Linked DNA regions of Danio rerio. The protein of the gene in region 4 interacts with the protein of the main gene of each other region in a pairwise test. Links are inferred from orthologs where the notes say so. Each region holds a gene or a part of one and is shown on either strand. Other genes may lie near its edges.

Region 1 (8,522 bases), on a different chromosome or scaffold from region 4:
CGTGGTCCTTAACCTTCTCAATCTCCTCCTCAATGGCAGAATAAACATAGTACAGGGCAGTGGTGCCAAGCTGGGGTTGACAAAATGACAAAATAGCAAAAGTATAAAGGTCAGAAAATAGTGGAGTTTTGAACAAAAAAAAAGTAATTCATCAAAAGTACCAACAGACTCACCTTAAAAAGTTCCCGTTTAATTCGGCCCCTTAGGAAGTCTTTGACAAATGGTGAATTCTCAGCTTTGTCATGAGATTCTTTGGTTCCTGCTGCCAAAACTTCTGACAGGTCATTAGGACTAAAAACAGAAGATTTATAAAGATATTACCTCCACTACTGGTATCAAAGTAGGAGCAAACAATAGCTGAAGTATGAGTCTTAAGAACACAATATGTAAACCACACAGCAGTGTTATATATTTTGCTGAATTATGTATTTGCATTATCCCAAATGCTTTGAAGAACGTTCAAATCCTAACAAATAAGCAATTTTCAATAGTGGCATGGACCATGTCCTGTGTGGTAATGCTAATGATGTTGTACATCCATCTTTTATTCTCTCAAAACCATGCACTTGGCAGCCATTTTATTTTTTGCAGTCTTCAGTAGTTTGCTGTTGCGGTTTTTGTTCCGTCTCCTATGTTGTTTTTTTCTGTGACATCTAGTTTACTAAGTAGTGCAAACATGACTCAAAGCAAACTGCACAAATTATGCACATGCTTTGAATTGTTGCTATTTATATTGGTCAAACATTACTATTCTGATGACACAATTTGCATTGAGCACTGTATGTATATCCTAGCATGTGCATAAAAAAACTAATTACACCTAGGCCCAATCCTAATTTTATTTTTGTACCCCTTTCCCTTCTCATTGAAACAGAGTTTGAAGGGGAAGGGCTTTAAAATTTACCCCTAAGAAATGGCACACCACTACAACACCTGCACATTTCATCGCAATCTCTTGCTTCATATGAGATCAGATGATTGCGACTGCTGTTCCAGTTGCGTTTTTTTTTTCTGGAAATCACTGAAGGCATATATTAAGTTATCATAACGATCTAATGTGGCAATAAGATCGTAACTGTACTGTGCATTTACACAGTGGCCTTATTCATCTATGTAAACACAATAAAAACAACATTAACATCCACTAGACGTTTCTGACAGGGTATTCCAGAGCTATCAAGTGTCAGAATGATTTGAGACTCCTATACAGGAGTTATTATTAGGGATTAGAGATTAGTTTTTATTTAATTTTTTTTTTTTAAAGCATGACGGTAAAACACAAACGCGGTTATGAATATATCAAAACATGTGCTTGTTTATTGTAAAAATTCTTAATAATGACAAAAAAAAAATAATAATTTGTGGATCTCCTGACTTCCGGGTGCAGCTATCCCGCTGTTGTGGCTGGTGTATTCTGGGAAATTTTCTTACCCCTTGGTTTCGAGTGTGGTCCTGAAAAATCTCTGTTCAAAGGGGTGTTTAGCCCTTCACCTTAGCCCTACGCCTTCAAGCTAAAGAGAATTGGGGCACCCCTACCCCTTTATGGGAATGCACAAAACGAGAGGTAGGGGTAAGGGGGAGGGCTAAGGGGTAGAATTGGGGTTGGGCCTTAAGTTTCATGTGGCATTCCCAATGATCCAACTGTTGGTCATATATGTGAACAATGATTAATGCATTAGACGCAGCCGAAAGCAACTTTTAATTAGGGGCTTAATAATAATAATAATAATAATAATAATAATAATAGTAGTAGTAGTATATTTGGTAGGTCATGTGGTTTCAACATGGTTTCCCTCTCAATGGTTTGGCATAAGTGCGTTCACACCGAAAGCGGTGAGAGTATCAAAGTAGACTGAAGTCAATAATTTTCAATGGAACATGGCAGCAATAAGCAGTGAGGAGCGGCGCGTCTTCACTGATGTGGGCGTCGAGAAGAGTTGAAATTAAGTCAACTTTATGGTAATGAGCAACTGTTCGATGTGGTTCGGTGCGGCCTTCTTGTTCTTTTGCGGCCAGAGCGAACTTTTATGCTCTCACCGCCTTCGATGTGAATGCACAGTGATGCATTCGCAATCAGATATTCATATTTTCTTTGAATAGTAGCTAATAGCACTGTAGATATTTATTTGCAGGTTTGCTGTGTTTGGAGAGACTTGCATATCTGATAATGTGGGATCCTTAGTGTGTTGTTTTGTTTGCATAATTTTACTTGTGTAACATGTAGAATTGATGTACGACATTTTGTCATTAACTTTCAGTATGTTAAGAAACGCACTGGTAAAGGTAAAGTCGGTTTTATATGCGCACATTTGTTCAGTGACAACTTGTAACCTGCTCCCTATATTGCTTACCATGGTACTTTGAATATGCAATTTGAAATCACTTGCAATTATGACTTCAAACAACATTAGCACTATATATTTGACAGTGAACAATGTTGTACTTTGATAGTCATTGGCTAATATGATTTCCCTGTGTATAAATCGCAAAGAATACTTTTCTTACATTATAATTATTAAGGAGAAAGTCTGAATGTGTAAATATAAAACCAACTTCACCACAATAAGAAACGCACGCTCAAAACAGATACTGGTAAACTTGGCAAGCCTGTTTAGTTTCTATTAGGTCTGTGAATGTTTCTCCTAATAAAGCTGTAATTACAGTACTTCAGGATATCATCATCGCTGTCAGTGAGGATGTTCTCTCCTCCATTGGACACTGCTGAATCTGCAGCCATCGTCAGCGTCTGTGTTATTTCTGTCAGGCTCTTCTCTGCTTGACAAATAAAGAAAATAAGAAAAAACACACACAACAGGACATTCTAAAACACTTAACGTGAAATAAAAGCTTAACGTGGTTTAATGCACCAAAACTTCAACCAGAGAAACCCAAATTTCTGTCAAACTGTACTTGTAATTAACCCCAACTACTGTAAAAAGGAGGAGTATCAATTCCATAGATAAAGTAAAAAACATAACGTTAAGCGTTTTCTCTGATTAACACTACTAGCAAAAGAACGAGCCCCGTTTCCACAGCTAAAGTGAACAATATTGTGTCAAGCGTTTTTCCCTAGGCTGTTGTGGGGATGTCAATGACATGCAAAAGCACATTCTTTTGACAGCAAGTGTTAATCTATCATAAATAAAATTTGATGAACAGCCTTTTTAACATTTAGTTTCCCTCAGTTGTTGTAAAGTTACGCCTTTCCTTATTATGGACTTGAATGGGGGAGAAAACGCTTATTGTGATATTGTTCACTTTATCTATGGAATTAAGGCCCGCTCTTTCATTAATAGTTAAGGTAATCACAAGTAAAGTTTGACAGATATTTATGCTTGTCTGGTCTGGGTTAAAAGTACGTTAAGCCACCTCGAGCTTTTTTCTTACAATGGACCTTGGAGAATGCTTAAAGTGATAATGTTCACTTGATACACTAAAATAAAAGTTTGTTCTTTTCACAGCAGTAAGTGTTTATGAGTGTATTTTTATAGAAAGTTGATCATCTCTGGATGTTACGTTAAACCACATTAAGCTCTTATAATGGACTTAAATGGGGGATAAAATTATTAATGTGACATTGTTCATTTCATCTACAGAATCAGAGCTTGATCCTTTGATAGTAGTTAGTGTAGTGTTGTGGTGTGCCCCACTGAGGTACATTAAGCCATGTTAAGCGTTTTCCTTTTATTATAATGGACTTATAATGGGGAGAAACGTATAACGTGATAAGTTTCACTTAATAAAATTGAGCTCATTTTATTGACATTAAAATAAGTGTTTGTCACTTGTTTGTGTGTGAAAATTTATAGAAATATGGTTTCCCCCGCTTGCTGTTAAGCTACATTAAGTAACGTTAAGCTGAAGTAAAGTGTTTTCGAATGTCCCCACACAACAACTGCAACAATTCAATAACGACAGCTCTTGTTTTCATTGCGTAACTCACATCCATTGTGTCATGAGCGCACATAAACAACAAACACTCCCGTGACATTGACTTGTGTAATAAAGTCGTACATTTAAAAACCGTAATGACATTTAATACAGTGATATAGATGCAGGCAATGCCTGTCAGGTTGTTTTTTTACCGATGGAAAGCAGAATCGTTTATATTACCTGATTTCGCAGTGTTTAAGGTAAAGCAACCCGTTGCAGTTCACATCACGTTGTATAATGTTTACCCAACCAGACCACCAGACTCTAAACAGGAAGTAGAATGACGCGTACTGTGACTGTCTCAAACGTAGTCAGCGCTAAAACATTAAATCTATATAAAAATTTTGTGATTTTTTTGTATCATTTATATTATGTTTATATTGTGTATTCCTGGGTTTGTTTGTTTGTTTTATTATTTTTTTCCCTAGTTGAATTAATTAATTTAATATATATTTAATTATGTATATGTTAATCTTTCTGAATGTAATTTATATGCTTGGCATTTAGGCAACTGTTAATAAATAAAGATTAATGAATAATAATAATAATAATAATAATAATAATAATAATAAATGATAAATAAAATTCTTCACTGCTTCTCCATTGATGATTTAAACGTCGCTACACAAAATTAATGTGTGAAAAATAGCGAGGTATTGTTTAATTTATAATCTTTTTGCAGATAAAGCAGATATACATACTCTGAATAGTTGTAAATATCTGAAAAAATGCTCTAAATTACTTTATTTGAAGTATATAAAAAAGTTACCTATATGAATAAAATCTTTTTAGATGGATGAAAATTTGATAACATCAATTAATTATAGGCTAATAATAAAAACTATTTAAAAACGATCAATGATATTATATATGATATTACATAATATAAATGCATAATATATGCTGACATCAACTTTTTTAAGATTTCAGTTGGTTTATAGACAGATGCAATTTACACTATCACCAGTAGAGGTCAGTCAAATCTATATAATCTCGAAACACGTAGCGGACAATAAGAACAAGAAGGACCTCTGCTTTTGTACAGTTTTTCATCACTAAGCCTACATATAAATATGGACGACACAACTAACTTTATATAAAAACTGGATTGTCGTTGACGTTTTATTTAGACGTTTTATTTAGATTTCAAATGGTCTGAAGACAGGAGCGATTTCCACTATCACCAGTAGAGGTCAGTATAATCTAGATAATCTCGAATCACGTAGCGGACGATAAAAAAGGCCTTTAAAAACACCTGTTTATTGATTTTCATTCAGCCTACAATTAAATACCGCCAGCACACCGAACTTTATATAAAAACTGGAACATTAGACTAAACCGATAGCTTATTTTGATTTGGGAGAGGATAGAAAGCGCCAAAAAAGTGCTGTACAGATCAGTGGCTTTAGCATATTGAAGATTTCAGGCCATGACGGTGAGTTTTACTCTAAGTATCAGCACTAACGTTAACATTTTCTTCTGAAAACATTTGTTTTTTATAAGTTGTGAGCAGGGTGCAAATTACGCGATCAGGGGGTTGACTTTTTGGTAAGTTTTCAGTGAATCAAATTGATCGATTTCTTTAAATGATATCAAATTAATCAATATAAGAGGTATTGAAGTTTTCAGTGTTTTGAGAGATATTTACTGTATCCTGACATACATTGAGCTCTTATTATTTCAAAATATTCAAGCTATGCTTTACTTTTAGGTTATATGTAAATACAAACACAAGAAAAGTGTCCCGTGACCGCTTAGATCTGTCAGATTCAGACTGCTGAATGATTGCACAGACTACGCAGAAGTATGCGGAAGTACTACTTTTAATTTGTCAGTAACCTGGGTCAGGTGCTTTCGGTGAACTTCTTGCCGTGACAAAATCGGTGCGTTTAAGGTCTGTTTTCTTCAAAAATCAGCTATTTCCACTGCCTAAGTGATATCTGATATAAAGTGGGTATCAGGATGTACAAGAAGCACTGCATTAAATTACATTTTTCTTGTCTTTAAAATATGAACATTTATTTTACCCCAGAATATTTAATGGACCTTCTGCGATAGTTTGCTGAACCTGAAAGGCACGTGCTTGTAAACGGCTTTTCATCTCGTTTTATGCTTGAACAACTAAATGAATTCCAAATTCTGTTATCAGTGCTGTAAAAGAAACCGTATAAAATGGAAAAAAGTCACATTGATAGGTTACCGGAAGTTGATCAGTATGGGAAGAAACACTTGCACTGCATATACCCTATTGGCGCCATTATGCAAGAAACCCTATAGTGGGATGGACCATTATAGGGATGATCAAATGTATATTCGTATATCTATTATTTTAAATATTAATACTATTATTTAAGATACAGATAAGGGAAAACTATTTTTCAGTATTAAAGGGCTGACACCCCCCCCCCCCCCCCCATACATCTTGTCTTGATGAGGGAGAGATCAAGTGTTAATTAAGGGGGTCAATCCCCTCCAAACCAAACCCCTCTTTAACTCGTACCCTGGTTTTGAGGCAGAAATTATACTTTTGACCACAAATGCTTAACAAAACATAATTCGCTGTTAAAACCTCTCAGCACAGACTGATATCATATATGATCTTAATGTTCTCGCGCGAGGCCCGTATATTTTTATAACACGGAAAAGATTTCTACTCATGCTTATCATTAGTAGGAAGCTCATATGGCAGACACATTTAGTCTTTTATCAGCATATAGGCCTACTGCATTATTAGGGAAGTCGTGTTTTCCTCAAGCGTATAGCAGTCTAAAGTACTTCCCCCTATTTATAGAGAAATGTCAATGTGTTCTTGAGAATATGGGAGCAGCCTGCCATGTGTTTGATTGAGCATGTGTGACCTGCACATAAGGATACAATACCATTATTATTTATACACCTCAGATCGGACCACCAGACAAGCCGCTCTATTTAAACAAAGGAACAAAGACGTTTTCCCTCCTCAAAACGTCCGAGTATTGAAAAGACCTTTGGCACTTTCTTAGCTCTTTTATGTCTTCAAGTGCTGCTGAAGCCCAATTTGACTTCTTTATTTTGTGCTGTGCATGATGACCGCCCACCTCTGTGTTTATTAGGGACGAGCTTCCTAAGATCAACAATATTGCTTTGGCCTTGACTTCACTGCTGTGCTATTTCATATTCAATGCGAGTTCCTTTGTTTATGTGCATATTTCGGACTCCGAAGTGATTATCACCGCAGGCTGAATTCCTGTACACGTATCACAGGAGTACAGTTTAAGTCGATAATAGTGCTGGTGACATCATTCTGATCAATTGTTAGTCGATGGTGAGTCGTCCAGGCTCAAATTTGTCATCCAGATATTTTGCCCTCGCATTGTTTTGTAGCCTGAATATTTTTGGCAATGTACTTTTGAGTCCTGTTTTATAAAAGGGGAACCTTCCTGTCTGTTAGGATTTCCCCTTGTTTTCTCCAACAAACAGTTTAAGTAAAAGAATCAACAAGGGTGTGACAAATCTGTGGAGTATTTGCTTTCGGGAAAACAGGCCTGAGGTGACCTTTGTGAAAACATAATGTGCAGGTTTTAGTTTGTTTAAAATTTTAGTAGGATCTACACTACCTGACCAAAGTCTTGTCATCGATCCCAGTAGTAAGGGCAACAAATAATAACTTGACTTCTAGTTGATCATTTAGAAAAGTGGCAGAAAGTAGATTTTTCAGATGAATCATCTGTTGAACTTCATCCCAATCATCACAAATACTGCAGGGCCTATTGGATACCCACATGGACCCAAGGTTCTCACAGAAATTTGTTGAGTTTGGCAAAGTAAAAATCATGGTTTGGGGTTACTTTCAGTATGGGGGTATGCAAGAGATCTGCAGAATGGATGGCAACATCAACAGCCTAAGGTATCAAGACATTTGTGCAGCCCATTACATTATAAACCACAGAAGAAGGCTATTCTTCAGCAGGATAGCGCTCCTTCTCAAACTTTAGGCTCCACATCAAAGTTCCTGAAAGCAAAGAAGCTCAAGGTGCTCCAGGATTGGCCAGCCCAGTTACCAGATATGAACATTATTGAGCATGTCTGGGGTAAGATGAAGGAGGAGGCATTGAAAATGAACCCAAAGAATCTTGAGGAACTCCGATAGTCCTGCAAGAATGGTTTCTTTGCCATCCCAGATGACTTTATTACAATAACAATTTATTTTAGAGTCATTAATTAGTCATTGCAGAGATGTATGGATGCAGTCTTCAAGCTCATGGAAGTTATTCGCAATATTAAATATTTTTCCACTCCACCATGACTTTATTTTCTATACTGTACATTAAAGTCAGACCTAACTGTCCTAATTAACTAATTAAAAATCAAGTCATGATCATATTTTATTCTGCTAAAATAAGCATAATCTAGAGGCTTTTGCCTTTCATATAAGCAACTTCTCATACCAAATAATCAACTGGAAATCAAGTTATTATTTGTTGTTCTTAAAACTTGGAAAGGCGACAAGACTTTTGTCTGGTAGTGTATACACGATAAACAGGTGATTAATCATAGCTGTGAAAAGCCATGAGGTTGTTCTGTTTTCCCGTATGTAGTTTATTTTACTT
Region 2 (8,468 bases), on a different chromosome or scaffold from region 4:
AAAAATAATTGCCTGCATCTATTTGCACACAACAAACCAATGCAATCTAAAATATAATACAATATAAATATAATATAATTTGAATTTGTTATTCATTAAAAAAAATTGCTTTACTAGTTTACATTACACAGCTTTTATTATTGGTAGTTACTGACCAAGATGATGATGATAATTAATTTGAAGGGTTGATCTGTCTCGACATTTGATTTTTAATTGTTATTCATGTATATAAACTGTTACTCACCATAGATACTCTTAAAGGTGATTCAATTACAATTGCTGCCCCCTTTTGAACACACTGTGTTACTTCAACTAAAACTCTCTTAACTGTGCAACCACAGAGACTCAACCACGTGAATTTCCTTAATGCATTTATTCACTGTTTGAACAAAAAAGCAGTGAAGACATTTAAAGTGTGCTTTATGGTTGAAAGAAAGTAATAATATAGGAAAATAAATTAGATTAAACACTGACAACAAACATCTGACGATTTCTGATATGATGGAAGACAAGATTTCACACACCCATAGAGCTTCTATGTTTCGACAATTGACAGCAGAAGCTTATCAAACGCATACTAATGATCTTTAAAATTGAAAAAACTTAGACCAACAGATTTCACGATGCCATCTTATGCACAGCCAGTGTAATTGTTCCATGTCTTCTCACCAAGATGTTCCTGCAATGACAGAATGACATAGAATTCCCATTTAATACTTAAGATTAAAATTAGCTGCTGTTTGATTTGAGATTATCACCTGGTTAGCAAAACTACAATTAAAACACATCTTGAGATACCAAAAGCATTCACTACACAGTGAAGCCTGTCAGAATGCATTTAGATTGACTCAATATGCTGTTATGAAAGCCAAAAATATTGTTCTGTTTTTTTTTATTATAACAAACGAGTTGCTTGGGTAATAGCACACAAGTCACAGTGCCATTTACCTAAATGTCAGTGCATAGGCATGATCACAAATAGATATTGATTTTTGTGTACAAAGCTAAAATTAAGTTACATTTCAGACATAACATAATACTGCCTGCTTTTCTTGCCCTTTCACCAGCAAAAGTAGTTATATACAAAGCCAGAGCAAAACAGAGGGGTATTCCAGAAAGCAAGGCTAACTTACAATCACATATACCCAGAACTCTAAATAGATAAGGGGAGTGCGGGGCACAAAGTAACGTGGGGTAAAATGTAACAATTTTAAGGTTTTTGCTCAGGGTTAACCATGGCATGCTTCCAAAATTTTCACCACAGCGTCGGCAGACATCTTCCTGCCAATTATTGAAAAAGTTTGTTGAAAATTGGACGAGAAACACAGAAACCATTTTTCCAGCAGTTTGCAGTATTTTTTATTACAGCAAATTTGTTTTACTTAAAAAAACATCTGTGAAAGCATGTACGAAAAAATCTTATATTGCTGTGATTACCATCTTCTAGGCTAAAAGATGAAACCATTTTGAAAGATGTAAAAAGACAGTGACTGCTAGTCAGTTTTGAAGAAAACACGACACAGCAGGGTTAGTTGTAACAGGGTGTTACAATTAAGCCACACACTGTTGGACACCAATTAAACTAACTGAATATTTTTATTTTTTATTTTTGATAATGTAATGTTGAGAACTTTTTAAATAAACATGATTTTTTTATAGAAAATATATATTTTTTAATAGAAAAAATTAGTTTTATTGCTAATAATGCAAATAAACGCATTTTATAATAATGCAAAAAAAAAATCCAAATGTGTTCATTAAGTGGATAAATAAGTAAATAAACATGCTGTGCTATGTATAACACAAAATAAATTGAGCCAAGTACTGAGGAAATATAGCTACTATTTAAAGTAAACAGAAATTAAATTAACTGTGTGGAATCTGCCTTTGTAAGCATGCGTTACAACTTACCCTCTGTTTGTTACAACGTGCCCCACTGCTGGGGCAAATAGTAACATTTTTGCTCCTGGCACTTTTGGCAATACTGCACAGAAACTGTAGGAGACAGTTTGTGTGTTGTTGGTACAAAAAATGGTTTGTCTAAGCCCATTACTTTGTTCATTATTTGGCCAAAACCAAAAAGTGTTACTTTGTGCCCTGCTCTTCCCTATCCCAGGTCAGACGGTGCTTACTCCAGGTATATCAGTTTCTAAAAATCACAGCTGGTGGCAAGTTCAGTCAACTTAAGAATCTGCCAACCATAAACACACAAGACATTCTCAAAAGAATAGCAATTCCACAAGTCATGGGTGAGAAATTAATGCTAAAAAAAAAAAAAAAAAGAGCGCCTTTTATTTTTTCGTTGTTCTTGTTTAATGGCAAGTTACATTCTTTTAGCATATTGCCAACAAATTTGTGGCTGTGCAGACATTTTTAAAACCGTTTAGTTAAATGTTCAATCTTTATTAACTACTGTGTACAGGAATTATAATGTTAAAATCAATTGATTTACTTTGTTTAAACCCATCCGCATTAACTTTAAAAAAAGATGAATTACATCTATTAATTAGTAATACATATGCCATGCATTATATTGAAATGGTTCCATTGCTTTCATTACTTTTGATTGAATATCCATAATGATAGTGGCAAAAAATTAACCATTACTTAAAAACATTTACTTGATAATAGTGCTTTTTTTAAAATAATAAACCCCCAAAAACTCATAAGAAATCATATGCCTCTCTATAATTATATCCATACTACAAATATCAATGATTCAATGAATCACTCATTAAGACTTGCCGCCATCTATTGGTGGTTTTGAGTGATATTGATCCAAGACAGTTCTAAAGCAACCAAATGACCAGCACAAAATATTAATCCTTGATGAATTAAAATGAATGGAATACTTTCTGAGAAAGTCACACGCCAATTTGATAGTTTCAATACTTATTACACGTCACTATATATACACTTTAGTGACAACTGGTGTGTGTGGAAGAGGGAAGGTATAATGGGATGAATGACTTTCAAAGATTGTTGTTTAACTGACTTTCCCTCATTTAACTTTCTTAATTAATGTCATCGATTTCTGCAGATTGTTTTGTTGTCTCTCAAATCAAAAAATTCTCAAGATACATAGAAATAAGACAGATGCTGGTCAAGAAGCTTTCCTTACCCACAGTCAGACTCCAGGCACACTGTAGGACAGTCGGTGGCATCTTTGGTTAGAGAAGCAGCCTGCTTGGCCAGTACAGATACAACTCCTCCATGTTCATCAGATAGTGAGCCCCGGCCTGGAGATTAAAATATTTGTAATGTCATTGAGAATTACAGTATATTTTCAAGTTCTGGAAACCAAATGGAAAAGAGTCAACTGAGAATCTATATAAAGCACAATTCTATAACCCTATATTTTGTTGAAAAGTTTTAAATTGTATATTGTTTTGCACATGGTAATACACTGAAAAAGCAGGCTTAAAATGCTCAAGTTGAATTAATTTATCAGATTAATATTTTTAATACTACACATGCCATTATAGATTTTACTACTCAAACTATATCTATACATCATTTAATTTTACTTTACATTTTTTTTGCATAATTACATTTGAATAGGCTTGTATTTTCTCCCAGTTAACCATGTTTTTTTGTTTACCATTGTTTCAGTTAACTTTAAGTTGGTCAATAACACAGTTATAAAGTTGTCCACAGTAGACACCCGTTCCCTGTTTTGAGAAACAAATCAAACTAATAAAAATTCAAAACGTTTTACATACCTTCAACACATGTGTAAATATTAAAAGCAATATTAACCTCTTGTTGCAAGTGAAAACCCAGTACATGTAAACCAAGCAAATCATGGTCACCAGAGGAAAACTATACTAAGGGAAGTATTAAGGAAAATATAAAAATTACTTACACCCTAGATTATGTCCTTGAGCGTCTGTGCACAAAACCCCAACAATAGCTGGATTTTTCATCCTAGAGTGAGAAAGGAGATCAGTAAATGAAGACGCAAAACGAGTAACGTTACATGCGTAAGAAAAGAAAGTGGTTTCTTTTTAAACATACGTATCGTCAAGATGCTGCTCCAGTGCACCCTCCATAACAGCGTCCTAAATAAGGCTATTAAACTAATAAGAAACACGAAATGTTCAGAAACTGGCAGCGATGTTTGTTACTTGGATAACTTCCGGGATGTCAGCTGACAGTTTAACACGCGACTTAACACTACGGCGCCCTCTAAGGGACAACAAGCAAATAGGATCTAGCGCCATCTTACTCAAGTCAGGATGGTAGGTAAATGGTCCTCTTTTGTTTGCTGCTAAACCTCGACAAGTAGTCAGTCATACAATATAATTTTTTGGGTTAAACATTTTAATTAAACTAAAATGAACACACAAGACATTCTCAAAAGAATACCAATTATACCACAAGTCCCACAGGAGAAATAAATGCTAAGTAGAAGAGTGACTATTTCTGAACCAAAATGAAAAGCTTGAATTTATTAATATGCAGCTGTTGGAATAAATGAATGTTCCTGCAGCACTGCTATTGACTGATCACCTATAATTCAGAGTCTAGATCTTCTATATCCTCGTTTTTATGTTGAACAAATAATAAATTCTTTACAAACCATTCAATGCTCTAAAAAGCAAGTAGGCTACATGTGGTTAACATTTAGCTGGCATTGTCAATGAGAACTCCCAGAGGAACGTGTGAATCTTCGGTGTTGGTATCTCTCTAAATGACCTTGTCCCCTGACCAGACGCACAATAAAAGACCACCGTCAATTGTGTCTGAGCTCAAGCTCTTTATCAGACAGTCTTTTCCATTTTTAACTCAAGATATTGAAGCACTCTCTTTTATAGTTTGTGAGGTTGGTTTAAGAGCCGGGTTTGACATGAGACACATTTTTTCTCTGTCACATCCATTAACTATATGTTTGCTTAACTATATGCGAAGCATATTATAAAATATACTATTACACAAGTTGTGCAAAGTGCAAAGCATGAATCAGGTTAGCAAAGTCAATATACATGCAAATAAGCTGGCAGAATAATAGCTGCCTGTTTCTGCCTCTCTAGAGCCCATCAGAACAGTTTAATCTTTCCTGACTGGATGCAGCCTTATATTTGATGAATATCATTTTTATAGGGTTAATTTAATTCCTTAACTTCTGTCTATTGATGATCGATTTATTTTTATAAATATAGTTTCATTACAATATTATTATTTTTGCGTGTGGGTATATATATACATTTAAATATATATGGATTTTTAGACTACTGATTTTTGTGCAGTTTAAGTCTTTTAATAAGATATTTTGCTTAATTTATTTTACAGTTTTCCTTGGATTGCTTTCATGCAGCCGTCAACTGAAACTCCACATTTTTAAAACAGTTAAAACACAGGCCTAAACAGCGGCACTCATGGTCAAAATAACACATTTTGGTTGCAAAATGCACATGCCGTGTCAAAACATTTAAAATATGCAACAAAAGCTATTTTAACCTTCAAACAACACAACTTGCTAACAAGTATATGAGCTCTTTCAATTAACCATTACACAATGAACAACAAAATACAAAATACAGACCTCAGTGTGAATCAGTGCACCATTGCTTGCCATTGTAACCTATTGCCAATGCCATTTGTTGTCTTTTTATTTGGGCTGCCTTTTTGCAAAGAATTGGATCCAGAATAAGAAATGCCTTTATTAAATTTATGTTGAATTCATGACATTTTTTCAAACTGTGGCTTAAAACTGAAATACTGTTAAAAAAACAGACAAAAGTAATAAAATACTGTAAATATTAGAGAAAACATGTAAACCAATATACAGTCAAATCTATTGTGAGTAGGACATAGCCACTATTGACCTCCTCCATCCATGCAGGCACAGAACAACACAGACCTTCTACCATTTTTAATGTTTGCAGACTGATTGCTAAATGAAGATTTGTGTGAAGGTGTGTCAAACCGGTGCTTTCAGTGAATTCATACTGATCTTGGTAGTTTCTAATGGTTAGGAATAGATGGTTTCTGTTTGGTTACCATAGCTAAAACAATGGAGTTTGGAATGCTTGAATGACATCCGTGTTAACTTTTTTGAAAAATGGTGCGGAAAATGTGTCAACCCAATGAGAAAGGGTTTAAACATTTGCAAGACCTGTCTTCTGCACTTGCTGGGATAGTGATAATGATAATGAAAATGAAGTAGAACCTAGTTTCTTTAACCAGGTCAAAGCAAACAAGAAAAACTGTAATTGAAAATGTTTTTAAAAATACTGTATATACATATATTGGATCATTTTTTTCAAGCATCTACATGAGAACAAATATTATCTATAGAGCTGTAAAAAGGTTTTGTGTCTCTCTGACACACACAGTAACACATAGGCTCTTGATATTGGTGGAGACGTACATCCCTAGAGCCAATGTATTAAACAGCACAAATTCTGTTTCATGCTTTTAAAAACATTTAAACACCTAATAATACAAATAACAATAATAATAATTCTATGCTGCAAAAGTCAATTGACATGATTTTACTGTAATCTGGTTTGAGGAGGTATGAATGTACAGAAATTTAGAGAGGCATGTGACAAAATGTAACAATTTTATTCCTATTATCTGTATGAATTTAACTCTTTAAGCACATTTAGGTTACTAAGGCTTGACAGAGCATTATTTTATTTTGAAGGCTATTAAATTATTGGTGGGGACATTTCAGTAATTGGTGAGGCAATGTCCCCTCTGTCCATGCCAATTCTACGCTCTTGATAGTTGGACAGACCAGTATTATGCGCACAAATTGAACTTTTTCCTTTTAGTTCTGAAGATGTGTTTGAATAAATAAAGTATTGAATAAAATGATAATTATGATATAAAGGCTAATATATATATTATTCTTTTATTTGAAATTTATTGCATGTGGAGTCATTGTTTCAGTCAAACAACTCTATTATATCTACCAATAGTGGAGTTTACTGCAGTTTATACTATTTCTATACTTTATTTTTTATGTTAATTATGAAGTCAATTATTAAGTGAATATAAAGCCATATATCATCATTTCATTTTACATAAAAGACATGCTCTGATTGATTTCATTTCATTATTTTCATCTTTTGGCTCAGTTTTCGTACTGCATTTGTTATGAAGTTACGTTTAACAGCTTTCAAGCTCTTTTAGCCAACTTAGGTTCTTTGCTCATGGCAAGGCTTGATGATTTCTGCCCAGTCCTGTGCAGTTAGAGCCAAGCTGGTTTGCTGACAAGGCAAAAAGTTGCAATGTAATTATGTGGCCCAGGCGTCAGTGAGATCAATCACTTTCACTGCAGCCGAGTAATGCTCTGCTGACTAACCAATGGCATTTTCATGCTCCCGCTAAACGTAAATCAAATCCCAACAGCTAGGACTGACATTCACCAGTCTGCTATCCCTCACACCAATTGCCTTCAAGTTGGATATTTTATTTAGCTATAATTTCAAGTAAGCTCATTGATTCTGTATAGCTGTGTTTCATCACGTAGCTCACGTATCCCAGAGCTTTAATGGTCAGCAGTTCAAATGGGCCACATCCACGTTTATTTTTTTGTTTTCTGATCAGTGGTCAGAAATTATATAGTGATAAATTATTTTATTTGCCATTCATTATGAATTTGTTAGTGTGTTAATGTTATTTTTAAGCTAGTATGCTCCAAAACAAAATTAATATTTCCATTTCCATAAGTATATGCATTCAAAAATGAGTCTCTGGATTTATGCACATCCCTCGTACTTCAGCTTTACATCAGATTTCTAATCAAATGGTCTAGTTGCGACTGAAACTGGTTTCTTGTTTAAACATATTAATCTTGTGTCATTGCTGAAAAGTCTCAACCAAACAGTGTATGATTGTGGATTCAAATGATTTAGTCAGAGCAAGTCTCTAGTTTATGCGAATGATTTGAAAATGTACCTAAACTGTGGCAAAATCGAAAAGGAGTACTTAATACTTTTAATTGAGAGATATTTTCTAAAGATATCTGTACCTTTACTCAAGTACTTCACATATGTACTTGTCTTGCAGTGGTGGAAAGAGTACTAAAAAATCATCAAACTCAAGTAAAAGTACCATTACTTGCATAAAAATATAGTTCAAGTAGAGTAAAAGCATCTGTTGTAAATATTACTCAAAGTATGAGTGAAAAGCCCTTTCAAAAGTACTCAAGAGTAGTGAGTAGTGAGTTTTACACTGTAAAAGGTTGATGCGTTTACATGTAATTTGTAGATGTGTGTAAACGTAACATTCTGTAGTGCATTAAGTGATTGCCCAGCAAGCACACAACGTCATAAGACATTAATATTAGGTTAGATTTAGGTTGTGATGTCAGGTGACCAAATTCAACGTCCAGTCAGTGTCTAAGGACGTTATTTTGATTCCAATAATGACGTTGATATTTGGTCAATTTTAGGTTGTTAGAAAGTGACCAAAATTCAACGTCGAGCCACCATCTTACACCAGAATCATATTGA
Region 3 (8,480 bases), on a different chromosome or scaffold from region 4:
GAGTATTTCAGAAACCTAATCTACTGAGCATTCCACAAACAACCATCTCTATTGTTTATAAAGAATGGTCCGAAAAAGAGAAAATATCCAGTGAGCGGCAGTTCTGTGGGCGCAAATGTAGATTAGAAAAATGTTGCCTGGTCTGATGAGTCTCGATTTTCACTGCAACACTTGGATGGTAGGGTCAGAATTTGGCATCAAAAACATAAAAGCATGGATCTATTTTTCCTTGTATCAACAGTTCAGGCTGGTGGTGGTGGTGTAATGTTGTGGGGGATATTTTCTCCGCACACTTTGGGCCCATTAGTACCAATTGAGCATCATGTCAACACCACAGCCTGACCGAGTATTGTTGCTGACCATGTCCATCCCTTTATGACTTCAGTGTACCAATCTTCTGATGGCTACTGCCAGCAGGATAACATGCCATGTCAAATGAATCATCTCAGACTGGTTTCTTGAACATGACAATGAGTTCACTTTACTCAGATGGCCACAGTCCCCCAATCTTAATCCAACAGAGCACCTTTGGTGGCACGGGAAATTGGTATCATGGATAAGCAACCGACAAATCTGCAGCAACTGTATAATGCTATCATGTCAGTATATAAACCAAAACCTCTGAGAAATTTTCCAGTATCTTGTTGAATCTATGCCCTGGAGGATTAAAGCAGTTCTGAAGGCAAAAGGGGTTCCAACCCGATAGTTGTAAGGTGTACCTTATAAAGTGGCCGCCGAGTGTATATCTTATTTAATTATGACTTTCATAGATTTTTTTTAACAGCAAGTAAAAAATGTTAAAATAAGGTGACCTATCCTTTGTATTTTGATAAGCAGTTCTTTGTCGGACAAGTAGATTTAATATAAGCAACTATATTTGTTTTTTTGCTCATAACCTACCTCAAGCTCTTTTATCTTGTCATCTGCCGTCTTCTGCTTTTCCAAAAGCTGATTAGAGATCTCACCTTTTGACTGCAAAATAAACCTGAATAAAGGAAGGAAGAGAAGGTCAAAACAACAGAGAGTAAAGGGTCCAGATTTGAAACCTCCAGAATTATACATACATCCGTCCTGCTCCCTCAAACATCCGAGTGCTTTCAGGAAGTGATGTAATCTCTCCATGCGTGAGATTTGCGTGCTTCTTTACACGACTCAGCTGTTCGATCTGCAGGTCTGCCAGCTTCACCTTCTGCTGAGTGTCAACCATTTTCGCCTGCAGCTCTGCAAAAGCCTGCAAAGATGCCGAGATTGAGGTTTTGATTAGAAGGAAATCCGCTGTGATATGATGCAAATACAAAGTTGAAGTCAGAATTATTAGCCCCCCTTTGATTTTTTTTCTTTTTTAAATATTTTCCAAATGATGTTTAACAGAGCAAGAACATTTTTACAGCATCTTTGATAATATTTTTATCTTCTGGAAAAAGTGTTATTTGTTTTATTTCGGCTAGAATAAAAGCAGTTTTTAAATTTTAAATGTCACTTTAAGCTGTATAGTAGTGTCTTAAAAAATATCTAGTAATATATTATTTACTGTCATCATGGCAGAGATAAAATAAATCCGTTATTAGAAATGATCTATTAAAACTTTTATGCTTAATTGGGGGAAAAAATTAACAGGGGGGCTAATAATTCTGACTTCAACTGTAAATTTACAATAAAATTTTATTCATTTTTTTCCCTGAATTTGCATAAAATAGCAAAAAACGTGCATACATGTTTATATTCTGTTTTAGAAAACACGTCGCTTCTGATGAGTTAAAAAAAAATCTAAATTTGGCGGAAATGACATTGATTTTTGTTTTCTGAATGAAATACAGGGTTCTGCAGGTTTCACAAAATTAAATTTAGGACATTTTAAGACATTTTTAAGACCATTATGAATGCAATTTTAGACTTATACAGAACTTAATGCTGAGGATTTTTTATATCCAAGTTAGAAAAGATTTTCACTTGCTAGATAAAAAAAATATTAACATTGAATACAGGAAATATTATGTTTCAATATTTTTTTTATAAATTTTCAAAAATATTCATCTACAAACCCAATAATCAGGGCCAGACAGAATCTGCTGACATTTTTGCTATTTCTGCTGAGAAATTTGTAAAATAAAAAAATAAAAAAATAAAACAGCTGATTTTTGTGGAATGATTATGGTTATAGCGTCATAACTAAAAACTTAATACATGAAATAAAAGCAACAGCTTTTTAGCTCTTATGTTTACAATGCAAATCCAACTAGATCCACGTATTTAGTAAACAAAGCAAGTTTCTCATAATACATCCACTAAAAGACAGAAAATATTACTCTAAAAACTGAATTGTAAATACATCATATGAACATTTTAATATTACTATTGTTATATCACAATAATATTATTGAAAACAATTTAAAACTGAATAAATATAATTTTATACACATTTATACAAGTAAATAAATAGACTCAATGATGGGCTAAAAGTCTGCGGAAATTTGCATGCGCAGATTCCGTGTGGGCCTTCCTATAACCCTTACCAAGAATAGAACAAAGCATAGCTGTCAATTACTTCCGTCTACAATAATAATATTTTAATAATACAAAATGTAGGTCAGGTCAGCAACCACAGCGGTATATAAAGTGGAGTACTTTTTAACAAATGTTACTGTGAGAAAAGTAATTAAATGCTATTTTTAAATAAAACGTTAAAAGTTTTATTGAGATTGGGATTGTTGGTGATTGTTGAGTGTTAATGGCCAGATTGGGTAGTTATTCATGAACATAGGAAAATTAAGACCTGCTAAAAAATATTTAAGACCTACAACACAATATTTTAGTAAATCTAATACTTTTTAAGGCCTAAAATTTTGTTTTTGAGATTTAAGACATTTTAAGACTTTTTAAGACCCCACAGATATCCTGGAAATAACACAGATTTTGTTTCTATTTATAAAAGCTTTATATTTATAATTTGTATGTGTCATCAAATGAGTAATTGTGATTATTGCATTGCAAAATGAATGCAAATAAAATATCTTATGTATATATTAATATATTAATACACATTCATTTAAAAAAAAATGTTTATTTATAATTATCTATCATTAATGTTTGCATATAATACTAATTATACATAAATATAACTGTATTTTTATAATAATAAATCATCTATAGATATAATAAAAAATATTATTTTGTATGTTACTAATTACGATTAAACATTTGACAGCTCTTTTTGACAGCACAATAATAACATTTTTTTCACATTCATATGTAATACAGCAAATTCAGCATTTCCTATAGCTGTAACTGTTATATTTAAACAATTTATATGTTGTTATATGTTGTTGCAGTTGGTAGGGCATTCGTTATGTAAAACATGTGCTGGATAAGTTGGCGATTCGTTCCACTGTGGCGACCCCTGATGAATAAAGAGAAGCCGAAGTAAAATGAATGAATGAATGAATTAGTTGTGACAAATTTGGTGCCACTAATAAATCTTTCCCAGGTTTTCAACATAAATTCTAGAACAAAAATAAGACACTTAGAAAGTCACAACATATAATCTATAAATATATATAAAATATACATAAATATAGACATCACTAAATATTTTGTAAATAAAAAATATTATTTTGCATGTGACTAATTATGATTAAACATTTGACAGCTCTTTTTGACAGCACAATAATAAATTTTTTATCAAATTCATATGTAATACAGCAAATCCAGCATTTCCTATAGCTGTAACAGTTATATTTCAACAAATTATGTCATATATATATATATATATATATATATATATATATATATATATATATATATGGATAAGCAAAAACTAAAGAATAAGCCATATTGAAAGCTTCCTATAGCATGTAATGATGTGTTGATAGATTGATATGTGTTTGGATATTCATTTCTAAAGGATTTACAGTGGTAAACTATAAATATGACGTTGCACATCTTTATAACAAACAATACACATTAAAAGGATTCGCATGCACCTACGTTACACACTGACAGATCGCGTTGCTTAAACAGTTTTATACCTTACTTCTGCTCCACAAAAGCTTAATAACATTTATTCAGTATTTTATCATAACAAAGTAACAACTCTGTTTGGTTTTTAGATATAAAACCAAAAACCACCCTTTACCTTCTTCAACTCGAGGTCTACGGGAGCCGCCATGATGCTAAGTGGTACGAGTCCCTGCGCATGCGCGAAACAAAGAGCTTGTTGCAAAACCTAGTGAGCGGCCTACATAGACAACATTTTCAATGTCAGACAGGCAGGCAATCCACAATAAATGTTCACTAAAAAGGCAGCTCGGTAGTTTTGCAGACACGGTAAGTTTGTGGACTACTTTCAATCTCAAAACAGTGCAACAGAAATGACAGTATATGATAAAGGTTTCAGCGTTATACCAATGTTAGCGTCAAAATGTTTAGAAGCTGACTCTTAATTTAAGCGGACTTTAAGCGGACTTATTTTTAGTGTCTATTATTGTGTGCTACATGTAAAATGTGTCACCCCAGTGGCAACATTGCTCAAGATTTTTTTATTACTATTAACGTGTTGTTTTGTATTGTAAAGTCGTGTATGTTCTGCATTTTAACTCCTGTTAACACTCTGTTTGGTTTCCTCAGGAGACAAATGATGGTAAACCAACTTGAGACTTAAATCTCCAAGCTAAAGACAAGTATATCAGATGTAGTAATGACAACACAATATTTTTATAACTTCACACAGTGAGTGTTTAAACTTTACAACATACATCTGTATATCTGCAGATTTATATCCGACACACTAAAATTTTATAAATAAAAAATAGTAAATCTAAATAATAAAAATAGTTTTATTATTGGTTGTGGGACGACACGGTGGCTTAGTGGATAGCACTGTCTTCTCACAGCAAGAAGATCTCTGGTTCGAGTCCCAGCTGGGTCAGTGGGCAATTCTTTGGAGTTTGCATGTTCTCTCCATGTTGGCGTGGGTTTCCTCAGGGTGCGCCGGTTTCCCCCACAGTTCAAAGACATGCAGTGAATTGAATAAACTAAATTGGTACTGTATGTGTGTGAATTTAATGAGTGTTTATGTATCTTGTCCAGTACTGGGTTGCAGTTATTAGGGCATTTGTTGTGTAAAACATGTGCTGGTTAGTGATTCATTCCACTGGGGCAAACCCCTGATAAATAAAGAGACTAAGCCGAAGTAAAATGAATGAATTAATTAGTTGTGACAAATACGGTGCCACTTATGAATCTTTCCCAGGTTTTCAACAAAAATAAGAGACACTTAGAAAGTCACAATAGTTTATTAAACAGCAGAAATTTGTTACCATTGCTTGAAATTAGTACATGAAATCATGTAATTTATACTAAACGCATAAAACAAACACACTAATAAACGTATTCCATTTTATTTCACTTAATTTAAGCTACACTTTCTCAGTAATACATATAAAAAAGGCTTAAGCCCTGCGTCTGACATTCCTGCAGAGTACATTTATTTGATTGCATTCGCAAATGTTTAATTCACAGTTTAGCTAAAATATTATTCAAACCGTACTGTCCTCCGAATGCGATTGTAAAGTTTGCGATGCAACTTCAGTCCTATTAGAACATTAATTGATTGTATTCATCGATAATAAATATCTATACAATAAAAACACATTTACAAAACTCGCAGTGCATTCAGTACACACAATTGTTACGTATCAAAATAAATAACAAATACATTATAAATAAATAATTACAAGTGCTTTGTGGCGTTTTTGACAGTACTACAGATTCAGACTGATGGGAGAAACCAGAAACTCAGCTTTTCAACATAAATAAATAAGCAACGAACAAAAAAGCAACTTTGATTGAAGTCGCGATACATTCATCATTTTCAGTCCTGTCTGCATGATCTCCATGACAGTACTGTACATGTACTGCACACGGGGCAGTGTTTAAAGCATCCTTCATGCCAGTTTAGACAGACACCAATACTGCAGGACATCAGGGGCGCACAACAAATACGAAGAGGTGCAAAGATTGTGGAGAAATAATGATTACCACTAGGAATAATGCAGAAATCATGCCCTTGATGAGATGTATAGTGCTGTCTATCCATGGGTCACATGACCTTTTGGCTTTCTTTATCCTGAAAAACATTTATTAAAAATGTATATATAAATGTTTGGAATTTTCATTTATTTTAATAAAAGCAAGATATTATACTATAAAAGTAAACAAAAACTACTTAGACATGTTTAAAACTAATTAAATCTCTCTATATAAACACACACAACACATAGACACGCATACATACTTATATTTGAGAGTTCAGATGCAAAAACCTCTAAATCACACCTCAAATGTCTTTCAAAAACAAGCATTTTTCTCCACTTCCTATATTCATTTTCTGTTTTTCCACTTTACATGCAATGGAAATCATCAACATACATGTGAAATTACTGAACCCACACACAAGAGTCCGTTTAGAAGTAAATTTTAGACGGCATTTAGAAGTTTTAGAATTTTAACTCCTTTATTTGTAAAAAATAACTAGAAATAACTAGAGTTAATATTATAGTTAATAAATAGGAAATATAGTTAATAAGATGTAAAACATTACTGTAAAAAATAATAAATTATGTGGACTTTTTAATATAAAAACATTTGAAATACAGTAAAAAATGTATGTTAATAGCTAAATTACTACACAATTATTACATAGTTACATACATAATTCTATCTATCTATCTATCTATCTATCTAAACAAGCAAATACAGTTGAAGTCAGAATTATTAGCCCCCCTGTTATATATATATATATATATATATATATATATATATATAAATAAATTTTAAAGTAAATTTGTGTGTCCGTATGTAAACAAATTATTAACATACAAATCTGGGAGTTCAAAGAGAACTATTTACCTTCGTTATCACTGTTTTACTGACGTTGCCTCGAGTTTGACCTTTTCTTCGCTCTCTACATCAGCGTCATCTTTTTTGTGGTACCTGTCAGAAAAGCATGCAGAATATCTAAGGAATTCTGTAAATCAATAACGGTATAATGATTAAGAATGCTGAACAATGCTGATTGACGGTAACTTACCTTAATGCCAGCAGAATAGCGATGACTGCGAGACACATGAGGGACAGAACCACTGCTATGACCGCCAGCGCTGTGGTTCGGCTGTAACGCTGCTCCTCCTTCCCCACCGGCAGGGTGAATACGTGACATCTCTCTCCAGAGTATCCTCCATGACATCTGAATGAGAAGCCATTCAGAGGGTCAAAATCACAACCATATCATATCAAGAGACAGAGGTAATATTCCCAGATTACATTCTTTTCCTATCCGATTATTAAAATAGTGATGAAGGAAATACTGTTACAAAATCATGGTGTTCGTCATTCTTTTGAATTGCTGCATCACAAACTATAATTTAGAAATAAATATTGCAATTATGACTTTCAAAAGTATTTTATCACACTGAGAGTGTAACAATGCCATTTGTTTGCTTTTGGTATCTGATAGAGTGTTTGGACCTAGAGACTGTGATGCATGACACTATACTTAGTGGGATAGTCCACCGCAAACTTAAAAATAACTCATCATTTACTCTTCCATAATGTGTTTTTAAACCATTAACACAAAGGAAGATATTTTGAAGAATGCTGGTACCCAATGATTTCTATAGCAGAAAAAAAATTCTATGGAAGTCAAATAATATCTTCTTTTGTGCGAAAAAAGAAACTCAGACTGGTTTTAAAGAAGTGAAAGATATCAGTAATTGAATGATTTTTTATTTTTGGGTGAATTATCCCTTTAAGAAGCAGATTAAAGCAAGAAATCTGTCATCTTTTATCCTTTTTTATCTATACATTTAATATATTTACTTACAATTATACACCATTTTAGACAAAATTGTCTACTAAATGAACATACTTAAAACATGTAATCCTTATTTACTAGCCCTCAATTGGTTCCAAACCTTTATGTGTTTTTTTTTTAATTAGCTTGAACACAAATGCAAGACATTTCAAAGAATGTTGTAAACCATTGACATTTATCATAAGGGAAAAAAAGCCAATGGTTACCAGTTTTCAGTATTATTTAAAATATCTCCTTTCGTGTTCAACAGAAGACAGAAACTCAATCTGGTTTTAAACAAGAAGGATATCAGCAAATGGATTTTATTTTTTAATGAATTATCCCTTTAACAAGCAGATTAATAAATCTGTTACCTGTTATCATTTTTATCTTTACATTTAATATATTTACATTCTATATTTACACATTTTTAGGGATCATTTCATGGCCATAATTTTTTATACTTAAAAATTGATCATCATTTAGTCACCCTAGGATGGTTCCAAATCTTTATGTGTGTGTGTGTGTTTATTTGCTTAAACACAAATAAAAAACATTTTAAAGAGTGTTGTAAACCATTGACATTTATAGTAGGGGGAAAAATATAAATAGAAGTAAATGGTTACCAGTT
Region 4 (6,680 bases):
AAGCCGTAAGAATCGGCCCGAGAGTAATGTGTGCTGCGGCCCGGAGCTGTCGCGACTCAGTATATATATATACTTTTATATAAAACCTTTTGGTATTACATTGGTACTTGATACATGGTTTTACAACCCTTTAAGTTGATATAACAGCAAATGCAGGCTATAATGTAAACACAAAGTGTAGGCACTGCATTTAACCTTTGAATAAAATGCAAACAGGAAACAGCATACATCCTATGACGAAAATAATCAAACGGACAAAATAAATACTCACTATCATTATTTTACTTTTGAATATTGGTCTTATTCTGTATATCATTTCTGCTCAAATTTAACATTTCAAAAAACACTTACTCTTTAACAGGCAGTAGCCACCTGGTTGACCTTTTATCCATAGGTTCATCATATTTATCATAGTTGTGTCAGACTGTCAATATATTTTTCAATCCAAGATTTGAGCCAAAACAATTTTTTTAAGTTGATTTAACCTTGATTAATGTTGGCATTTGCACAAATGTGTAAAACACATTGATAAAAAAAAAAAACACAGGACACAATGAACTTTCGGTTTTGTTTATTACAAATGTACAGCTTATGAGTCTTTATTACGATTTAAATGGTTTTGCTTAGTCTTTTATTTAATTTCTATATTTTACAGGTAGCCTCTGCTAAACGAATTTCACCCATCAGCTAATCTCTCAAGTAAGAACAACTGAGTGATAAAGAACAGTCCTAACAGGTAGGTGCAGCTAGTATGACTGATCACAGAATAGTGTCAATTAGTCGGTTTAAAAATAATTCCACTGGTGCGTTACGTGAACAATGAATGCATCTGCAGCAGGACTGCTGGGAAAATGCCTACAAACTACTTCAAAAGGAATCAGAGTTGGACCTAGTGTGTGCAATTACTCCCTTTCCCATAATCCTCTCTGAATTTAGTGCTTATTTAATAATGGCCCAAACTCTTTCTCCCAAGGCATCATTACAGTAAACCATCTAACAGTGACATGTTTAGTGGGAAATTAAAAATCTAGAAAAAATAAAAATAAACAATGCATACACTGATTTTACTCACCATGTGCTTCTAGTGTGAAAGAGAGAGACGCCAGTCACTTGATTGCGGATTAAAGTCAGTCTAGCAGATGTGCAAAGGCAATGATCAGACAATCTTTTTGACACGTTTTTAGGGACGCTAAGAATATCCCATTCCCCAAGTTCAAGAAACAAAAGGCAAGAATGAAAAAATGGCTTAACTTAAAAGGCTGGTGGGTAAAACCAATATGGAAAAAAGGAGGTTTAAGGCTCATAGCATGACATCTAAAAATGCAAAGTAACTGTACAACAAATACTTGATTTGATCACGCTCGCACACAAACGTGGCATCAAGCCTCAGGCGGATAAACGTTCATGTATGTGCGTTTATCCTGAAAGCTCCAGTTTAACTCCTCTCCCATGAACATCCATAAAGCGAGGTGCTCATTTGCCCCAATTCAACAAAAAAGAAACCCCGATTGCCCCATCTACCACCACAGAATGTGACTTCACTGGTCCTGATGCAGCAGATGGACATCCCGTATTTTTCCCTGTCACTGTCTCTGAAATGTTAGTGTTGAGAACATTGATAGTGGTCATCTTCAACCATCAACATTCACATGATTGTAGCTTATGAAACATAATTAGGGTCTTCTTACATTAAAAAAACATTAGATGTGTGCTAAATTAAAAACAAGAAAAATAAACAACGGCAGGAAATCAAAATCAAATATTTTCAAACGGACAACCAACCACACACACAAAAAAAAGCCTGGTCCAGAAGAGTCTCTGCTAAACTGATGAAGGCCATTCGATTAAGTCAATCATGTGCAGATAATCTAATAAGTAAAAGACATCGTGTCCGAAATGGGTGGTTTTGTCCTAAACTAATGAGCTAATGTGATGATTGTGCTAACACATTTGCATTGTTCTGATAACAAACCCACTAACGTAGGGATTGAGATGCAATGAGATGAGAAAAGCCGGGACGTATCCCGGACGAGCCCCCGTTTTTGTACCCCAACTTCTGTCTTTGTGCTCAAACACGACAAACAACAAACAAACAGAGGAATCCGCAACTGTAGTGTCTTCACTCTCCTCTGCTCCTTTGGCTAGTGTACAACACACCTTGATTAAAACAAAATAGTGAAGTAAAACACTGTGTGAGTGAACCAGTGCTTCTATCACTGGAGGACGGGAGTGTTCCGGTTAGTTTTCACAGGTTACTGTTCACCCCGTTAATGTTCGCAAAGCTCTGTGTGACAAAAAAAATTAAAATAAAATAAAAAATCAAAAGAAGACATCAATAACAGTAACAATAATATGAAACAGAAGTCATAATCATTAAAATAACTCCAGTGTGTTGTTTTCGCAAGTCAATACATTTGTCCCAAGAGAAACGAGTCAATGGAGCGGCACTTTAAAAACACAAAAATCAATCGAAAGGGAGATGGAAAACTGAAAACAAATGAACATTTCTGGCTCTCTGTAGGTTAGGAGTGCCTGTGTGTTTCACAAAAAGAACCAAACAGCAGCCGCCCATGCGCTCACTGACCATCAATCCTCTGTTGTGTAGTGTTCAACCATATAGATATAAGAAAAGGAGTGCAAGGAAAAGCAGGCCGCTCCATTCGGCTTCTCCCACATCTCTGCATCCAGATGCCCAGAGCTGGATTCATCACTCCGTCTTCGCTCCCTCATAGCACTTTTTTTTCATCACCTGACTAACGATTCCCAGCCGTCAGTTTTTACTCAGTGTCTGCTCCCATTTCTCAGTCTTTTCCCCTGCCCGATGGAGCCCAGTGTGCCGGACGGGTCACTGTTTTTTTTCGCGGGTGGTGATGGTGACCAGCTGCTTGGCGGCTTTGGCAATGTCGTATGCGCACTGGATGACCTGCTGGGTAAGAAGCTGGTAGTCCACTGTACTGGCCGACGAGTCCGAAGGCGCCGCTTTACGACACTCCACCTGCAAACGTGACGCACTTGCTGCCAGGAGCTTCAAGGAAGAACGTACTGCATCCAGCGCTGGTCTCTGAGGGAAACAAAGAGGAGGACATAGAGATTCAGTGCATCTGGTTTGACATTTTTAAGCCAAAAGTATAACTCATTTTTTTGTGTGTACATTAGCAAAACAATAAGAGAATAACCTAGATTAAACTAGGTGCATTATTGAGCAAAAAGTCCTATAGTCCTGTAGTCCTATAGCGAGTTGAGCGATTTGCTCGTTTGAGGCATGAATCGCTTGACTTAAAAAATCTGAACATTAGCGGACATTCGCGCCATGTTAATCAAGAGCCTTTATTTATGGGGGCGTGATTATGTAGTAGTGAGTGTTGTTGGTGTCCCGAGGGGAAATCCTCTTGCAGACACCGAACAACAGTTCATCAAACTGGGCTCGGCTAAGTTCCAAGCACAGCTGAAAGCTTCCATTATCCAGGTATAGTTTCTGGAGGAGTTGATGAACTGGGAGAATTGGGTGCTCCTCTGAAATCAGGATCTAGTGCACAAGACATGATGCTGAACGAAATTACGCTGCTCTTCAGCCTTCCTAAATCACAGCTACTTTCCCAATAAAATCCATGTTAGCCATTTAGCAACAATGCTAGTCACCGGGCAGACAGAAGCCCTGCTCATGATACAAATACGCATCTATTGTGAAGTGAATTTGACACGCAAATGAAGCAAGTAAGCTCAAAATATTTACACGCAAATAATGTGATTTATTCACATGTGCCACCTGGTGAACACAGCACCCACAGAACACACAAACCTCAAAGCCTCATTGCGCTGTTGATGTTAAAAAATACAAAGTTTCCATTCACAACAGCAGGGAAAAAAAACACTCAAGATTTGGGGAAAAAAGAACTTCTGCAGACTTTGGTGGACACGCACCTTTAAACCACCAGTAGATGGCTGCAAGTCAGAGTCCTGCTATGTGATTCACTGAATCATTAAAGGGCCATGACACCCCACACTTTCGGTTAAAGTCTACTTCAGAATTTTTTCAAAAGATGCATGTTTAATGGGCGTAAAGCTCCGCGAGCATCGGGCAGGAGTGGGCGTGGCCAGCAGGGGAAAACATGAGCGAACGAAGCAAGCTTACAAATTAAGACAAACCGTGAGGAGACGCATGAGTTTATAGTTTACAAAGTTAAAACGCAAAGAAATGAACAGTGATTTAATGCCCTGCTACATGTTATTCGTAATTTCATATACACATAACCACAATTTATATCATTATAAAGATAAGTGTGTTCATGTAAACCCTATAAATGAGGACTTCTCCCTCAATCCCCGTATCCAGCAGACTCAGTGCAGCAGGTCTCCTGACCTGTCTATTTTAACCGTTAGCCCTGCTGGTAATCTGGAGGATTTAGGCAAACACAGCAGCACAGTGATGTGTCTGAATGTGAACGAATTCCTGATTAAAGACAGCGTCCTGCTCTCCCTACAAAAATGCTTGCAGCACACACACAGCTTTGCTGTATGATCGGCCCTGACAAGATCGCGGGGGAAAACATGCAACAAACCCCGTGGATCATGGAAACAAACGCATATGAGCCTTCATGAACGGCTAAATACTGTGTGCCCGTGCCGTGGGTCCGTGACGTGTCTCACAGCGCGGGCTTGACTCTGGCAGGTCTCATGAATAATTAAGCAGCCGGCTCTTCTCATAGGATAAGAAAACTCCGCTATGAATAATAATGAGAAACCGACCCGTCATCATTGCACTTGCAGTACTGCGCTACGTCGCCGATTTTGAGCGATTGTAGCTTACAAAAGCTCAAAATTATTCAGTTTTCCCCACAATTAAAGCTGACAGGTGCTAACATTGTCTTAACTGATGCTCAACACACACAAATCTGTTAATATAAAAAAAATGTTCTCCAGGGTGTCCTGAACCTTTAACTCCATTTGTTCTAAATGGGTGATTCATTTAGAAATGAAGCAAGCAACTGTTTGTGATTTGATCATTCACTCAAGTGATTCGTTTAAAAACATTCCTACATAAACGAAACACCACACAAATATTTTCACTGGCAAAGGAAAAAAACATTATCTAACTTCATCTTTGTTGGACTGTTATATAAAATCGATACCACAGTTGTGATCACATTCAAACTGATACTTCAGAACACAGGCACTCTTGCTTGTGTGATATCATTTAACTATATTATTCTCAATAAATAAAACAAAAGCCCTACAGCAGGGGTGTCAAACTCCGATCCTAAAGGGCCACAACCCAACAAAGTTCAACACTAAATAAACCTGATCCAGATAATCAAGTCATTCCGGCTTATTTGAAAACTATGAGGCATGTGTGTTGGAGCAGGATTGTAGCTGGACTCTACCGTTTGCACAAAGGTTACTCTTTGCTGAAAAGACTCTAAAGAGTTCAAAGTTATTGTATATTAAAGGTCATTGCATTATAATAGGTTTCATATAGTGAATGATTTTGGTCTCGTTTTTGTTTTCCAATTTAATTGTGAGCGAGCAGATATTTTTTTAACTTTTACTCACTTTGCAAAACCCCCCAAAACAAAACAATAAACATGAAATTATTGTAGACAAAAGGAAAAATAGACCGTAGCCTTTTACTTTTTACCTTGTTTTTGTATTCACCTTAGATAAAGTTGCAATGAAATATCTCTTAATCTTTTAGCAGATTCTTGATAAGAGCTAGGGTATGGATAGTGTACGTAGCCTAACAAAAACATAGTAGTATGCTTAAATTTCCTAGGACATTTTGAAAAATCCGCAGTTATTTACCTTGGGAAACAGCGAGGCCATTTCTGTCACAGCTAAGTGGATTTTCTCTGAGCATGGCACAAAACTGCAACCAAAGACAAATGTTAGAATAAGTTTATTTTTTTACTGTAGAAAAGCAACTCTGCAATCAGCTTGACAGGTAAGAGTCCATCAGACCTGTCGTGCTTGAACTCTTGAGCAGCTCTCAGGAGCTCCTGGATGTTTTTGGTGACCTGTTCAGTTTTAAGGATGACGTCCTCTGTGCAGGGCAGTGTGGGGTCAGGATCGCCCTCGGTGTCGTCTACATCCCCCCTGCTGTCCTCCTCACTGCTGCGGCCCACACTAACAGTGGAGATAACACACATCATCACTCACCTATAAAAACACTCAGATTTACAGGCTAAAGGAATGACTTTAATCTTTAGCAAGTTAAGTTTTAAGTAGCTAGTTAAGTTATTACTATTAGTAAGTTAGTAGTAGTTAAGGTATTTATGAAAATCAATAAATAACTAAGAAAAATATTGATATATTACTGTAAAATATTTTCAGACAATATCAGAAACAAAAACAATTATGTCACTATTGTGCTTCATTAAATATTCATTCTTTTTATTATTAATATTACATATTGTAACTGTTTTTAAAAAATACATATTTATTATAATATTATTTCACCATTGTACAAAAAATTATATTACAAATATTTATCGAATATAAATATGCACAAATAGATGTGCATTACAAAAACATTTATACAAATGATAAATACCAATTTTTGCTTGACGTAAAAACAAATTACAATAAAATAATAATAATAACACACAAAATATTAATTTGGTAATGTTGTTATACTTCCCAAAAAATCATAATACAATTAATAATGTTAGCTATTTTATAACTAG

The links. The genes of interacting proteins can lie anywhere in the genome.
Region 1: the proteins of git1 (region 4) and hmox2a interact in a two-hybrid assay, tested with the Homo sapiens proteins (2 studies listed by BioGRID and IntAct). The link is inferred for Danio rerio from reciprocal best matches to the Homo sapiens genes GIT1 and HMOX2.
Region 2: the proteins of git1 (region 4) and lamtor5 interact in a two-hybrid assay, tested with the Homo sapiens proteins (2 studies listed by BioGRID and IntAct). The link is inferred for Danio rerio from reciprocal best matches to the Homo sapiens genes GIT1 and LAMTOR5.
Region 3: the proteins of git1 (region 4) and pfdn1 interact in binary tests that used the Homo sapiens proteins (3 or more experiments, as listed by UniProt). The link is inferred for Danio rerio from reciprocal best matches to the Homo sapiens genes GIT1 and PFDN1.

Annotation. Positions count from the first base shown.
Region 1 is NC_133197.1:27,576,344-27,584,865, forward strand, and holds the start of hmox2a (heme oxygenase 2a), read right to left. Parts: upstream 4,179-8,522; 5' UTR 4,114-4,178; exon of another isoform or gene 3,007-4,113; intron 2,930-3,006; exon of another isoform or gene 2,773-2,929; 5' UTR 2,738-2,772; coding exon 2,667-2,737; exon of another isoform or gene 2,662-2,666; intron 292-2,661; coding exon 174-291; intron 71-173; coding exon 1-70.
Region 2 is NC_133183.1:26,632,081-26,640,548, reverse strand, and holds lamtor5 (ragulator complex protein LAMTOR5), read right to left. Parts: upstream 4,179-8,468; 5' UTR 4,053-4,178; coding exon 4,018-4,052; intron 3,928-4,017; coding exon 3,866-3,927; intron 3,240-3,865; coding exon 3,122-3,239; intron 680-3,121; coding exon 619-679; 3' UTR 99-618; downstream 1-98. UniProt on the Homo sapiens protein: As part of the Ragulator complex it is involved in amino acid sensing and activation of mTORC1, a signaling complex promoting cell growth in response to growth factors, energy levels, and amino acids.
Region 3 is NC_133196.1:32,810,466-32,818,945, forward strand, and holds the start of pfdn1 (prefoldin subunit 1), read right to left. Parts: upstream 4,179-8,480; 5' UTR 4,166-4,178; coding exon 4,133-4,165; intron 1,232-4,132; coding exon 1,065-1,231; intron 986-1,064; coding exon 901-985; intron 1-900. Other genes in the region: hbegfb (heparin-binding EGF-like growth factor b), read right to left, coding at 6,915-6,990, 7,088-7,243. UniProt on the Homo sapiens protein: Binds specifically to cytosolic chaperonin (c-CPN) and transfers target proteins to it. Binds to nascent polypeptide chain and promotes folding in an environment in which there are many competing pathways for nonnative proteins.
Region 4 is NC_133190.1:30,937,760-30,944,439, forward strand, and holds the end of git1 (ARF GTPase-activating protein GIT1), read right to left. Parts: intron 6,121-6,680; coding exon 5,956-6,120; intron 5,864-5,955; coding exon 5,800-5,863; intron 3,062-5,799; coding exon 2,846-3,061; 3' UTR 557-2,845; downstream 1-556. UniProt on the Homo sapiens protein: GTPase-activating protein for ADP ribosylation factor family members, including ARF1.